Ovis aries: one gene and its partners. The protein of the gene in region 3 purifies or fractionates together with the protein of the main gene of each other region. This does not show direct contact. Links are inferred from orthologs where the notes say so. Each region holds a gene or a part of one and is shown on either strand. Other genes may lie near its edges. The genes, in order: KLHL12, NUP160 and SEC13.

Evidence for each region.
Region 1: the proteins of SEC13 (region 3) and KLHL12 purify together in Homo sapiens (affinity purification with mass spectrometry; 3 studies listed by BioGRID and IntAct, with this or other methods). This does not show direct contact. The link is inferred for Ovis aries from reciprocal best matches to the Homo sapiens genes SEC13 and KLHL12.
Region 2: the proteins of SEC13 (region 3) and NUP160 purify together in Homo sapiens (affinity purification with mass spectrometry; 4 studies listed by BioGRID and IntAct, counting the BioPlex papers as one, with this or other methods). This does not show direct contact. The link is inferred for Ovis aries from reciprocal best matches to the Homo sapiens genes SEC13 and NUP160.

Annotation. Positions count from the first base shown.
Region 1 is NC_056065.1:79,286,465-79,290,796, reverse strand, and holds the start of KLHL12 (kelch-like protein 12), read right to left. Parts: upstream 2,878-4,332; 5' UTR 2,751-2,877; intron 2,475-2,750; exon of another isoform or gene 2,360-2,474; intron 963-2,359; exon of another isoform or gene 879-962; intron 603-878; 5' UTR 562-602; coding exon 367-561; intron 17-366; exon of another isoform or gene 1-16. UniProt on the Homo sapiens protein: Substrate-specific adapter of a BCR (BTB-CUL3-RBX1) E3 ubiquitin ligase complex that acts as a negative regulator of Wnt signaling pathway and ER-Golgi transport.
Region 2 is NC_056068.1:76,487,770-76,491,416, forward strand, and holds part of NUP160 (nuclear pore complex protein Nup160), read right to left. Parts: intron 1,270-3,647; coding exon 1,059-1,269; intron 510-1,058; coding exon 287-509; intron 1-286. UniProt on the Homo sapiens protein: Functions as a component of the nuclear pore complex (NPC). Involved in poly(A)+ RNA transport.
Region 3 is NC_056072.1:54,305,134-54,308,780, reverse strand, and holds part of SEC13 (protein SEC13 homolog), read left to right. Parts: intron 1-438; coding exon 439-786; 3' UTR 787-3,647. UniProt on the Homo sapiens protein: Functions as a component of the nuclear pore complex (NPC) and the COPII coat. At the endoplasmic reticulum, SEC13 is involved in the biogenesis of COPII-coated vesicles.

The DNA of each region.
Region 1 (4,332 bases), on a different chromosome or scaffold from region 3:
TCTTCACAATGTTACACTTTAGAAGAAACAAAACAGGAAAACAAATTAAAACACTGGTAAGTAAAATCCGATAGCTGACATCTGTGTTTGCTACATGCTGGACACTGTTCTAAGCACGTCACATGTAAGTTCCTCAGGTAACTGCCACAACACCATGTGAAATGGTGTACTACCATCATTCCTCATTCTGAGATGAGGAAACTAACGCACAGTCAAATGGCAGATGTTATCCAGAGTCTGCCGTTGAACACCAGGCTATAGCGACTCACAATCGTACAGAACTTCCACTGTCTCATTCAGCGGAATGAGATGCCCACGAGGTGGCCTGTGTGGGCTCCACCTGTCAGGAGCCGGTCCACCACGTACCTCGCTGGTGAACATGGCGCAGAAGTAGTCGCTGCAGGCAGCCAGCACGATCCGGTGGGCGGGGAAGTCCTGCTGCTCCACCCTCAGCGTCACGTCACAGAGGGTGTTGCTCTTCCTGAGGGAGTTCATGGAGTTGAGGATGGATTTAGCGTGAGTGTTTGTCATCATGTCCTTGGGAGCCATGATGCCTCTCATCAAGCAGCGTGGAGAGCGAGTGAAAGGGGTCCTTGAATTCTCTAAGAAACAAAGCCAGGGAGCACGTGTGAAAGCCTGGGGACACTGCATATATTCAGTTAGCTTTACAAACAGAGGCGGCGCCATCAGACTCAAACATCCACAGGTAGAGCACACGCCTCTTCCTGGCATTACCAACACAACCCAGCCACTAATTCCCCTGAGTAAATCGGATCCCTCCTCCCTCTGAACTCCCCTTGCCATGGAGTGCCCAAACCACCCGACATAACTGCCGCCAACACCCTGCTGCAAGGAGAAAGAGACTATTCCTCTCTCACCTATCTTCACAAGGCCGCTCTCTCTCACGGTGAAAGTCAGAAGATACAATTTCTTAAAGGTGTGATGTCACTATTTTTAATACCCTAAAGGAAATTAAGTAGCTGAATATTTATAGAGGGTGGGGACCCAGTTTTATATATATGTATCTTTTTTTTTCTCTCCCAGCAAGTGTATAATAAACGTTCAGTAACAGAATGCAAGAAAGGAACTGCACCTTCAACCTAGAGCAAAAGGGCCAGTATCAGTGAAAATAAACTTTTTCTAAAGAAGCACCCAATTAATTATTTATGATGACTTCCAACTATATTTGGATTTGTTCTTAAAATGAAACCTCAAATGAGGACCCAATGCATGCCTGCATGCTAAGTCACTTCAGTCATGTCCGACACTTTGTGACCTTATGGACTGTAGCCCGCCATGATCCTCTGTCCACGGGGATTCTCCAGGCAAGAATACTGGAGTGGGATGCCATTATCCTTCTCCAGGGGATGCAGTACCTACACTGAATAATGGAGACCATGCAAGCTTAAGCTACTGAAGTTCTATAGAAAGTCCACCTACTCTAACTATTAGTATACATTCATCAATATTAACAAATTAGTATTTGTAGTAATTCTTCTATACTATGAGAGAATTACTGGGATAGAAAACGTATCAAAACACTACTACTAATTTTATGGCCACAGCCAGTTACTTGTAAAGTTCACTGTATGCATAAATTAAATGAACTCAGTAACAGGCTACACGTCAAAAAATTAATAGAAGTAATTTCTTGATTTTTGACAAGCTTCAGTTAAGTTATTATTTTATTTTTGTTTATTTGCTTCAAGGACAATTTCTGGGGAACGAAATTGGAAGGTGACTAAGAGTCTGTCTTATGTGGAATCCAAAATTTTCTGTAAGGATCCAAGAAAATCAAATCAAACTATGCTTTTCGAAAATCCACAACTCACAACCATAGTTTTATACGAAAAGGGAAAACGAGCCCCTAAATCCTCATCTACTCCTGTTTATGGGTAGCGCACTATTCTTTACGGTCTCCAGCCACTCCACAGGACCCGTTCTACAGGAAAGGAGGTGGCTCATCCAGGCGTAAGACGATATCCAGAAAGGCCTTCCTGCAGTCAACTTCGTTTCAACTCTGGAGACTGAGAAAGGCCCGCACGGACGCCGCTATACGGGGAGGACCCTGGGGCGGCGGGTCGGAGCCGGCTCTGCGCGTCAGACAGACACGGCCCCAGCGTGCGGCTGCCCGCTCCCGGGGTCCCCGGCCGCGCTCCGCCCCAGGGCACCTGGTCCGGGGCCCCCCGCGAGCTCCCCGCTGGAGGGGCCGCCTCCCGGCGGGCGACAACAGCAGCGGCGCCCCCCTCCCCGACAGCCTCCTGACGGAGGTCGCGGCGCTCGACGCCTGGACGCCCCCGCCCGCCCTGAGGGGACGGCGGCGGGGGAGGGCACCGGCTGCCGCCCCCGGGCCACTCACCTGCGCTCCGGCCCGCCGGGCGGGCGCGGGGCGAGCGGGCGGCCCGGGAGGTGCCCAAGCGCCGCCGCCCGGACCCGGAGGCTCCGGCGCCGCGCCCGCGGCCGCGCGCCGTGATGACGTCGCGCCTGCCCGCGTCACGTGCGAGGCCGCTGTCACGTGACTGCGGGCGCCGCGGGCGGGCCTGGGCGGAGCGGGTGGACGCGGCGCGAAGGGGGCGCGGGCCCCGGCACGGGTGCGGCCCGCGGCCGAGACTCCCTGCGACCACCGACCCTGGGGCCTCAAGACGCGGAGACCCGAGAGGAGTGCGCAGGTGTCCAAGGTAGGGAGCTGGCCGCAGGGCGCGTTTCACCTGACAGGCGTTCAGGCGCCCTCTCACGTCGAGGAAACCCACCGAGGCGCCCCGTTTCCTCCCGTCCATAGTCCGCAGTGGCCTTTTCGGGCCGACCATCGCTGTGATGAGAATCCCGGAGCCCCGCGACCACGGACCTCGGCGTTCTCTGCGTCACAGTCGCGTCTGTGGCCACCGCCGCGCGGTTCTCTGCTGCTTGCCCTCCGAGACAGTTACGTGGAAGGGGCGTGCGGCCCTGGAGGCGGGACTCCGCCAGGGAGACTGCGAAGGACCTTAGACGTCCCGGGGGTCCTCCGGCCCCCTGTCCGCTTCTGCTGCCTTTCACAGCTCCTGGGTGCTGAGCGTTCTGCTAGAAATTTTGCTTCTGATTGGTTTTGGCGCACTTATCTCAGCGCCTGGGAAGGGAATGAGGTTTCTTGATACTGTTCCTTTGCAGGTTCAAACCAGCTGTACTTGAGTGTACCGTTTTCCACTGTGGTGCCTTTGATTCTTCAGGGATAATAAAACTATGGCCAAGCGGGTGGCAGTATCGTAGTCTAATTTTGTGTAGTGTTTCCATCTCTCATGTAGTATCTCTGATCTAAAATGCTCTTGATTTCCGAATTTCTGAGTGCAGGACTGATCCAGGTTTTACTGGGGGCATTTTGTAAAAGTTCGCCAGAATGATGAATGCAGATATCCTTTAACAGCGATTTTTTGGGTATATGTATCCTTTGTATATTCTCACACACATGAAAAAGGATGTGTGTACAAGGTTGTAGATTGGATTGGGGACTGTTTCAGTAACGTGTGGTGCCGCCGTACAATTCAATTCCACGAAGTTGTGAACAGTGAGTATTCTTTGCCATTAGTTGTGTAGAAGGGAAAGATACAGTCATATTTGCCAGTATATGTATAAAAATTGCAGTTGGAAAGATACAAAGTAGAGTAGCAACAGAAATTTCTTTGGAGAGAGGAACTGGTTGTTTGGGAGACAGGGTGGGAGAGATTTTCTCCTCTACGTATTTTTGTCCCTTTTGAATTTTACATCATGTGGACTTAATGTATGTATAATTTAAATAAAAACAACCCCTTGTCTTCTGGCTGCAGAATAGCATCTAGTTGCTTTAATGATATTGCCTAATTCCTGGCTGCAAGCAAGGACACTGCCAGCAAGAAAGCCAACACACCGAGGGGCCTAGTCAGGCTGCTTCTGTTTTCTTCAAGGGTACAGCCCTAACATGTTTTGAGTCAAGTCACGGGGACACCGTCCTAAACTTTGGATATCTGACTCGGTACCCTGCAGCCCAAACTGATTCTGAGTTCTTAGGTCCGTTGCTGGAGGGCTGTGTCTGGATGAGGTGAGTGGATCAGTCAGGTTCCACACACTGCCCTGCCTTGGTGTTTGGACGCCTGGGAAGACTCTGGGTGTTGACAGCTACTGAAGGGTTTCAGTAAGGGAAGCATGGATGTGTTGTGGAGCTCTACATCAAGTACATCGAATGTGGGGCAAATCTCGAAACCAGTTAGGCAGAGGGTACTGCATTGTTGTGCCATCAGAGCGTGGCAGACAGGAGAATGTGCCTCATAATTATGGAGTGTAATCACAGCAGGGCCCCAGCTGCTGCTTTGAAATTCATCGTGA
Region 2 (3,647 bases), on a different chromosome or scaffold from region 3:
AAAACAGACATCAGGCAACTCATCTCTACTAAAGGCCTTAGAATAGGCCACCTTATAGCCACCTGTTTTCCTATATTCCAGTAAGCTGCAGTTCCTCATTCACCGTATAAAATCCCACCCTCTTGGGAAAAACTGTGAAGTGTTAGGGACTCATTAGGAAAGTAATAATGAATTTAGGATGGTTTGGAAGCAGTTCCTGCACTGGATAACGGCCCTGGACTTCTAACATCTGTCTTAATGCCAGTATCTGTTTGAAATTAAATCCATGTTGCATTCCCGTTCTTACCAGGTACGTCATAAGGAGGTAGTTTAAGAACAAAGATCCCCCCAGAGGCAGATGGCAGAGCAAACAGAGCCTCCCCATCATTGCTCAGCCAGGCTGCTGAGGCGGCAGAACCAGGGGAGAGGCCAGGCACTGACGGGATCAACTGATAGTTGCAAGGATCCCTAAAATCAACTTTTCCAATGTCAGTGAATATTGACTGCATCTGACTTTCGATTGCCAACTCCTGTGGAGAAATGAAAAAGAAAAATCTGTTAAAAACAAAATAAATGAATTTTGCTCAGTTCCTCCCAATTGCTATCAATGTTTTTAAAGTAAAAAATTGTTGAGTTGAAAAAAGAAGCTGTTCTTTTTAATAAAACTATTTTTGCAACTTAGAATGTATTTGATCATTTTAAATAGTAACTAGGAAAGTATGAGGCTTCCCCAGCAGTTCCTCGGTAAAGAATCTGCCTGCAATTCAGGAGATGTGGGGTCGTTCCCTGGGTGGAGAAGATCCCCTGGAGGTGGAAGTGGCAACCCGCTCCAGTAATTCCATGGACAGAAGAGCCTGGGCAATTCCACGGACAGAGGAGCCTGGCGGGCTATATTCCATAGGGTCGCAAATGAGCCGATCATGACTTAGCGACTAAACAACAATGCCAGCACGGAAGTGTGCTTGGTTAGGGCTAGCCAGGAATCCATCCTTTCTTCAGTTCCAAAGGACACTGCTCTAATACTAAATTTGCGACCAAGTAATCTGAGAAATAAAGGACATTATACTTAACCAACTTACACTCCTATACATCCGGGAAGGGTGTGGTAAAAGCAATCTATGCACGGTCTGATTGGTCAATATCAAGATCATCACATGATTCTGAGTCTCAGAGACATGAACTCCTCCGGGTAGAAGGACGCAGTTTTGGAATTTGAGGCGAACTGCATTATTCAACAGATTTATGTCCAGTGACTCTTCCACCAGCTCCAATGTATCTCCAGAGGTTTTCCTATTAAAAAGAGACATTTGTAAAAAACAACAAAAAAAAGAGTTTACACTTTTCTTTCTGATTGTTGCATGGAAATGTATGACAATAGTTTTCAGGTGAACTCTAATTCAAAAATTTTGGATAAGCAAACTCAAATCAATTCTGACATTCCAAACCACATTGTATAGTCTACAAAACACAGCATTATATACAATTCAACTATTATTATATGATTCTCTGTTAAATGGAGACATTTCCAAACTTGATAGTATGTTTAGAACAAAGTGTTAAGTCGCTTTAGTTAGTTCTGACTCTTTGTAACCCTATGGACTGCAGCCCTCCAGGCTCCTCTGTCCACGGGATTCTCCAGGCAAGAATACTGGAGTGGGTTGCCATGCCCTGCTCCAGGGGGAATCTTCCCGACCCAGGGACTGAACACAGGTCTATCTTATCTCCCCCATTGGCAGACGGGTTCTTTACCACTAGCACCACCTGGGAAACCTTTAGAACAATAGTCAATTCAATTAAACTCCACTAGGATTAAAATTCACACCACACACTCACAACTTATAGTGTAACATGGCCTCTACATATAATCACTATAGCCATCAAACTACAGTGATCTTATAAGTCCCTTCTAAAGCTTCCTCCTGCTAGGAAGCAGGAAGAGACTCCTGCTCACGTATACCTCTGCTATGCGGTAGCTTCAGAACCACAGACAGCACCATGCTGGCCGTGTCCTAACCAGATCTCATCTACTGCACTACCCGATTCTCCTCTCTGTCAGCGGGTTTCCACCTACAGGATCTAACGCTTCATGATCTGAGGTGGAGCTGATGTCACAATAACCAAGGTCACCGCAGATGTAATGTGCCTGAATCGTCCTGAAACCAGTCCCCCCACCCCAGATCTGTGGGAAAATTGTCTTCTGTGAAACTGGTCCTTGGTGCCAAGAAGCTTGCGGACCACTGCTATGGGCGATCACCTTTGGTTTAACAGCTTTGACTGACGATGATTTCTAAATCTGTATCTTCTTCAGCCCACACTCTCCACTCACCTCCTAACTACTGCCTCAAACTTGCACTTGTACATCAGGGATCTCAAACTACACCTGTCCGAAACAGAATTCCTGGACCCAGCAAACCAGGAAAACATCTGCTTCACCTCCACTTCTTTCCCAACTCATGGATGGCGTCTCTGTAACTTCCAGTTGCTCATGCCAAAAACATGGGGTTCACCCTTGAATTTTTCCTTTCTATATACCCTACATCTGATCCAACACTAAATTCTAACAAAATAGTTTTAAAGCATATCCACTATTAGAAGATTTCTCACAGCCTCTAACAATACCAAACTCATTGTAAGCCGCCACCATCGTTTGTGTGGATTGTGGCACCAACCTCTAATTGGCCTCCCTGCTCCCATCCCTTCCTACTACACTCTGTTCTCAACACAGCAGACAAGCACCTTTTAAAAACACTGTTATTCATAATACTTCTTCACTTAAAACCCTCCTCTCACTTAAAGTAAAAGTCACAGCCTTGAAATAACTGACAAAGCCCTAATCTGCCCCTTGGCTACCTTATTCCTCCATCCTTCATTCTCTCAAGAGGCAGACTTCTGGCCCTTTCCCATTCTTTGAAAACAACACACAAGCTCCTGTCTCGGGATTTTTGCCCTTTTTCTTCAAAGACTCTACCTGAAATCTCACCCCCTGGGTACCCTTATTTCCTCTGCTCAAATGTTAACTTATCACTGGGTCTTGCCCAACTACCCTATGTGAAATATTAAACATAATAATTCCCCTTCTCCCTTCCCTGTTCTCCATTCCACATATCACCTGATGAACTACTGTTTTTTGGGGTTACTGTTATTGATCAGCTTCTGCTGAGAGCAAGGACTGTCTGCTTTATTCCCTGCTATGTTCCCAGTCCCTAAACATTCACTGGAACACATTGTGTGTCTGCAAAGTCACTTCAGTCTGACTCTTTGCAACCCAAAGCCCTACAGAGCTTGCCAGGATCCTCTGTCCCTGGGATTCTCCAGGCAAGAATACTGCAGTGGGTTGCCATGCCCTCCTCTAGGGGATTTTCCTGACCTAGGGATCGAACTCACATCTCTTGTATCCTCTGTACTGGCAGGGAGATTCTTTAGCACTGGTGTCGGAACATATTAGGCACTCAAAAATATTTCTGAAATCAATGAGATTTGCACCTCTAACACAGGTCTTTCTTCTGAACCTATAAATTTCAATGCCTACTTGACACTGTCAAAATGCAACTACACAGACACTTTAATAGCACGGCTAAAAGAACTACTTAACACCCGTCCAAAACCCATCTTCTACATCTCAGAAGACGGCAATCCTTCTGCAGGATATCTGGTCAGTCACACCAAAA
Region 3 (3,647 bases):
GGTTTTTTGGTCCCTTCTTATTCTTTGAGCTTGGCTTTTTAAACACCTATACCCATTGCATTGAGAAAGTACAGGGCTACTGGAAACCAAACCCAGGAGGTGACTTGGCACATGTGGGAAAGTCCCAGGGAAAATTTGAGAAACAGCAGTGTTGACAAAGTCCATCCCTGAAACTGGTGTGAGGAAAGGGACCTGGGAGACTCCTGACCAACCTGAAGTGCGTTCCTGGGCTGAAGGGATACAGGCAGGGACGCTGGGCTGGAAATTGGTTGTCAAAGCTGTAAACACCCAGGAGGTCTACCCAGGAGGTCTTTGGCTGTGGTTTGCCCTGATTCCCTCCCCGTGTTCCTGAAAAGGTCCAGTACAGATCCAGGTGGAGAAGATGCCACCGGGGAGGACTGCCGCCCCCACCTCCTGACCCGGGCCTTCTTTCCCCAGGATGGCCGAGTGTTCATCTGGACCTGCGACGATGCCTCGGGCAGCACGTGGTCTCCCAAGCTGCTGCACAAGTTCAACGACGTCGTATGGCATGTCAGCTGGTCCATCACAGCCAACATCCTGGCGGTCTCAGGTGGAGACAATAAGGTCAGTTCAGTCACTCAGTCGTGTCCAACCCCATGGACTGCAGCATGCCAGGCTTCCCTGTTCATCACCGACTCCCGGAGCGCGCTCAAACTCGTGTCCATCGAGTCAGTGATGCCATCCAACCATCTCGTCTGTGTGGTATTCAAGCCTCCCACCTCTTCGCCAGCACCTAGCAGCCCTCATTTTGCTCTCTGTCTCTGAATGGACCATTCTAGGACCTCCTAGAAGTAGAATTGTAAAGGGTTTGATTTTGTGAGTGGCTTGTTTCACTTAGCATAGTGCTGTTGTTGTTGAGGCACATAGCTGATTTACAGCGTTGTGTTCATCTCCGCTGCACAGCAGTCGTTCAGTTATACATGCTGCTTCCGTGTTCCTTTCCATGGTGCTTTGTTACAAAATACTGAATGGAGTTCCCTCTGTTCCGTGGTAGGACCTTGTTGCTAATCCATTCTGTGTATAACAGCTTCCATCTGCTAATCCTGAATCCCCAATCCTTCCCTCATGTAGACCCCATCCATCTTGGCAACCAGAAGTGTATCCTGTCTCTGGGAGTCTGCTGCGTAGATGAGGCGGTGGTCATGCCTCTTGCAGTCATGCTTTGCTGTGCCTATTCGCCAGAGACTGAAATGGCCCAGTAATATGTCTGTCTGTATTTTGAGGAACCACATTCTGTTCTCAGTAGAGGCTGTTAGCCTCATTGCACTGCTATCAGCATCTTCCAAGGGTTCCATTTTCTCTGAACACTCTTCCTGTATTTGTTATTTCTACACCTTGATTTAAATTTCTGATATTAGGTTGAATATCTTTTTTCACACTGTGAGTAAAATGTACCTTTTGAAATTACCTTATTAACAGTGGGCCCTGTTTTCATTACCTACCCAAAGTCTTTAATTGACAGCAGGTATCATTTAGAAGCAAACACGTCTTTCGAATATGACCCTTCCTTAAGCACTGGGTTTAAAGTTCTTGTTATAGAAAATGACAACAAGGAAGCAGCCTCTCTTCCTGACCAACTGCGGTTACTGCAGCTTCCAGAAGCTCAGGAAAAGCCGTATTCCCGGGCTGTCAAGGGGACAGTATGCGCCAGCACACACACTAAAGGGCTTCCTCCTCCTCTCTCCCTCCTCGGCAGCCTTCAACACCCAAAATACCAACCCCTGCCGAACCCCAGCACATAGGTGGCTGACCGACGTGGGTGGACTTGAGTCTCTGGACAGACGCTAGAGATGGGAAGCCCTCCAGCAAGACCTCTTCCCGCCCAGAGGACTCACCTCTTGTGGGCGCACTCGGTGCGCTTAACGCTCGGCATGTCCCACATCTGGTGCTCCGGTGCCTTCCGCAGGGACCGGACACTCCGGTCCAGGAGGGCGTCGTTGCCGGCCCCTCCCTCCCAGCTCCCTCGGCCCTCGCCGCCCCAGCCTTGGTTCCCAGCCAGCTCGGGCTCCAGGGATGGACATCACCCCAGGCTTCAGAGGCCTCATCGCAACACAGTAGATAATACTCTCTGAGGTTTTTCTTTCTTCCTCTCTTTTATCTGGACGTTTTGTTGATTTAGTGTCATGTCCGTTTCAGACTGCTGGGTGCTGGTCCCCTCTGCGTGTGCACATAGCTCCTCTGGAGTTCTTTCCCTGGATAGCTTAGGACAGTGCTCACTGGGGTTCTCTGCGCTGCAGTAGAGTCTTGTCGACTGTCTCCTTTAGTGATGGGAGTTATAGAATCCCAGCCTTCCCATTTATCTGCCCACCGTACCCTGCACTAACACTTCCTTGTTTTTCTTTCTTCACTGACACGCTCTTTCAAGTTCACCTATAACAGTGTTTGGATTCCACCTATTATTGAAAGCATAAAATACTTGTGTGTCTGTGTCTGGATTAGATAATTCGTGCGGTCATCTCTGGGTTTATCCACATTGTTGCAATTGGCATTATCCGTTTGTTCCTAGACATGAGTAATTATTCCAGAGTATATCTATACTACGTTTCTTTTTTACTGGTTCATCTGTCATCAGTGTTTGACATTTTTCTGTTTGTAACTAATGGTGCGGTGAACACTGGCGCGCAGGAAATCTTTTCATATTTGGTGTCTACAGGCCCTGTGACAGCAGGTCTTTTTCTCAGTTGACTGTAGTCGATCTCTTGTGAATTTTTGACCGACCTCCATCATGCTCTGCCGAGTAGGTCTGCCAGTTCCGTTCCCCCGGCAGAGCAGGCAGGCTCCCTTCCTTCCGGGTGCTCTCTGGGGTCGCCTCTCACACCGTAAGGATTGTCCTTCTGTAGGGTGTAACGGGATTCCAGGTTGGTGTCCGGGTGACTTCTTTCTGCTGATTGGGAATGCAGACCATGTCTCTCTGTACTAAGGTTGACAGCAGTGGAGGAAAATCTTTCTCTGCAACCCACTACTGGAAAATGGGTCGTTTGGAATTCTTTATCCATGAGCTACTAAGGTAATGTTTCTTGAAGGCAGCTGTCTTCTGCAGCTCCCAAGGGCCTGGTGAATTTGAACTGCCTGAAACCACGGTTTTAATGAATTATTTTGGGCAGTGGCCACAAAGTGGCAGCGTTTCTTTGCCTGGCTGTAGTCAATCTAGCTTCCAGAACCCTAGGGGACAGCATGTCCCTGGGCTGTCAAGAGACTGACGGGTGCGGCACAGACACCCCAGGGTTCTCGTCTCCTCCCTTCCCTCCCCCTTGCCCTTCACTCCAAGAGGTGCCAGCCCAGGAGGCCGCAGTGCCCTGGCGCTGCCCAACATGCGTGGACGGAGGCTAGAGAAGGGGAGCCCTCCACAGAGGCTGCTGGTGGAGACTTGGGCTCTTTTCATGCCTGTCCGGCCCAGAGGACTCAGCTCTTGGGTGAGCTGGGTGTGCTTGAGCCTCTGCCTGACCCAACCGTGTCTGACGAGTGTGCTGCCTTCCAGAGGGAACAGGCGCTCAGGTCCACGCGTGGGTCATTGCTGGTCCCTCCCTCCCAGCTCCTCCAGCCCCTGGACACGCCAGCCTTGTTTCCCGGCCAGCTCGGGCTTTAGGAGTGGACATGAGCCCCTGTTTCAGAGGCCTCATTGCAGC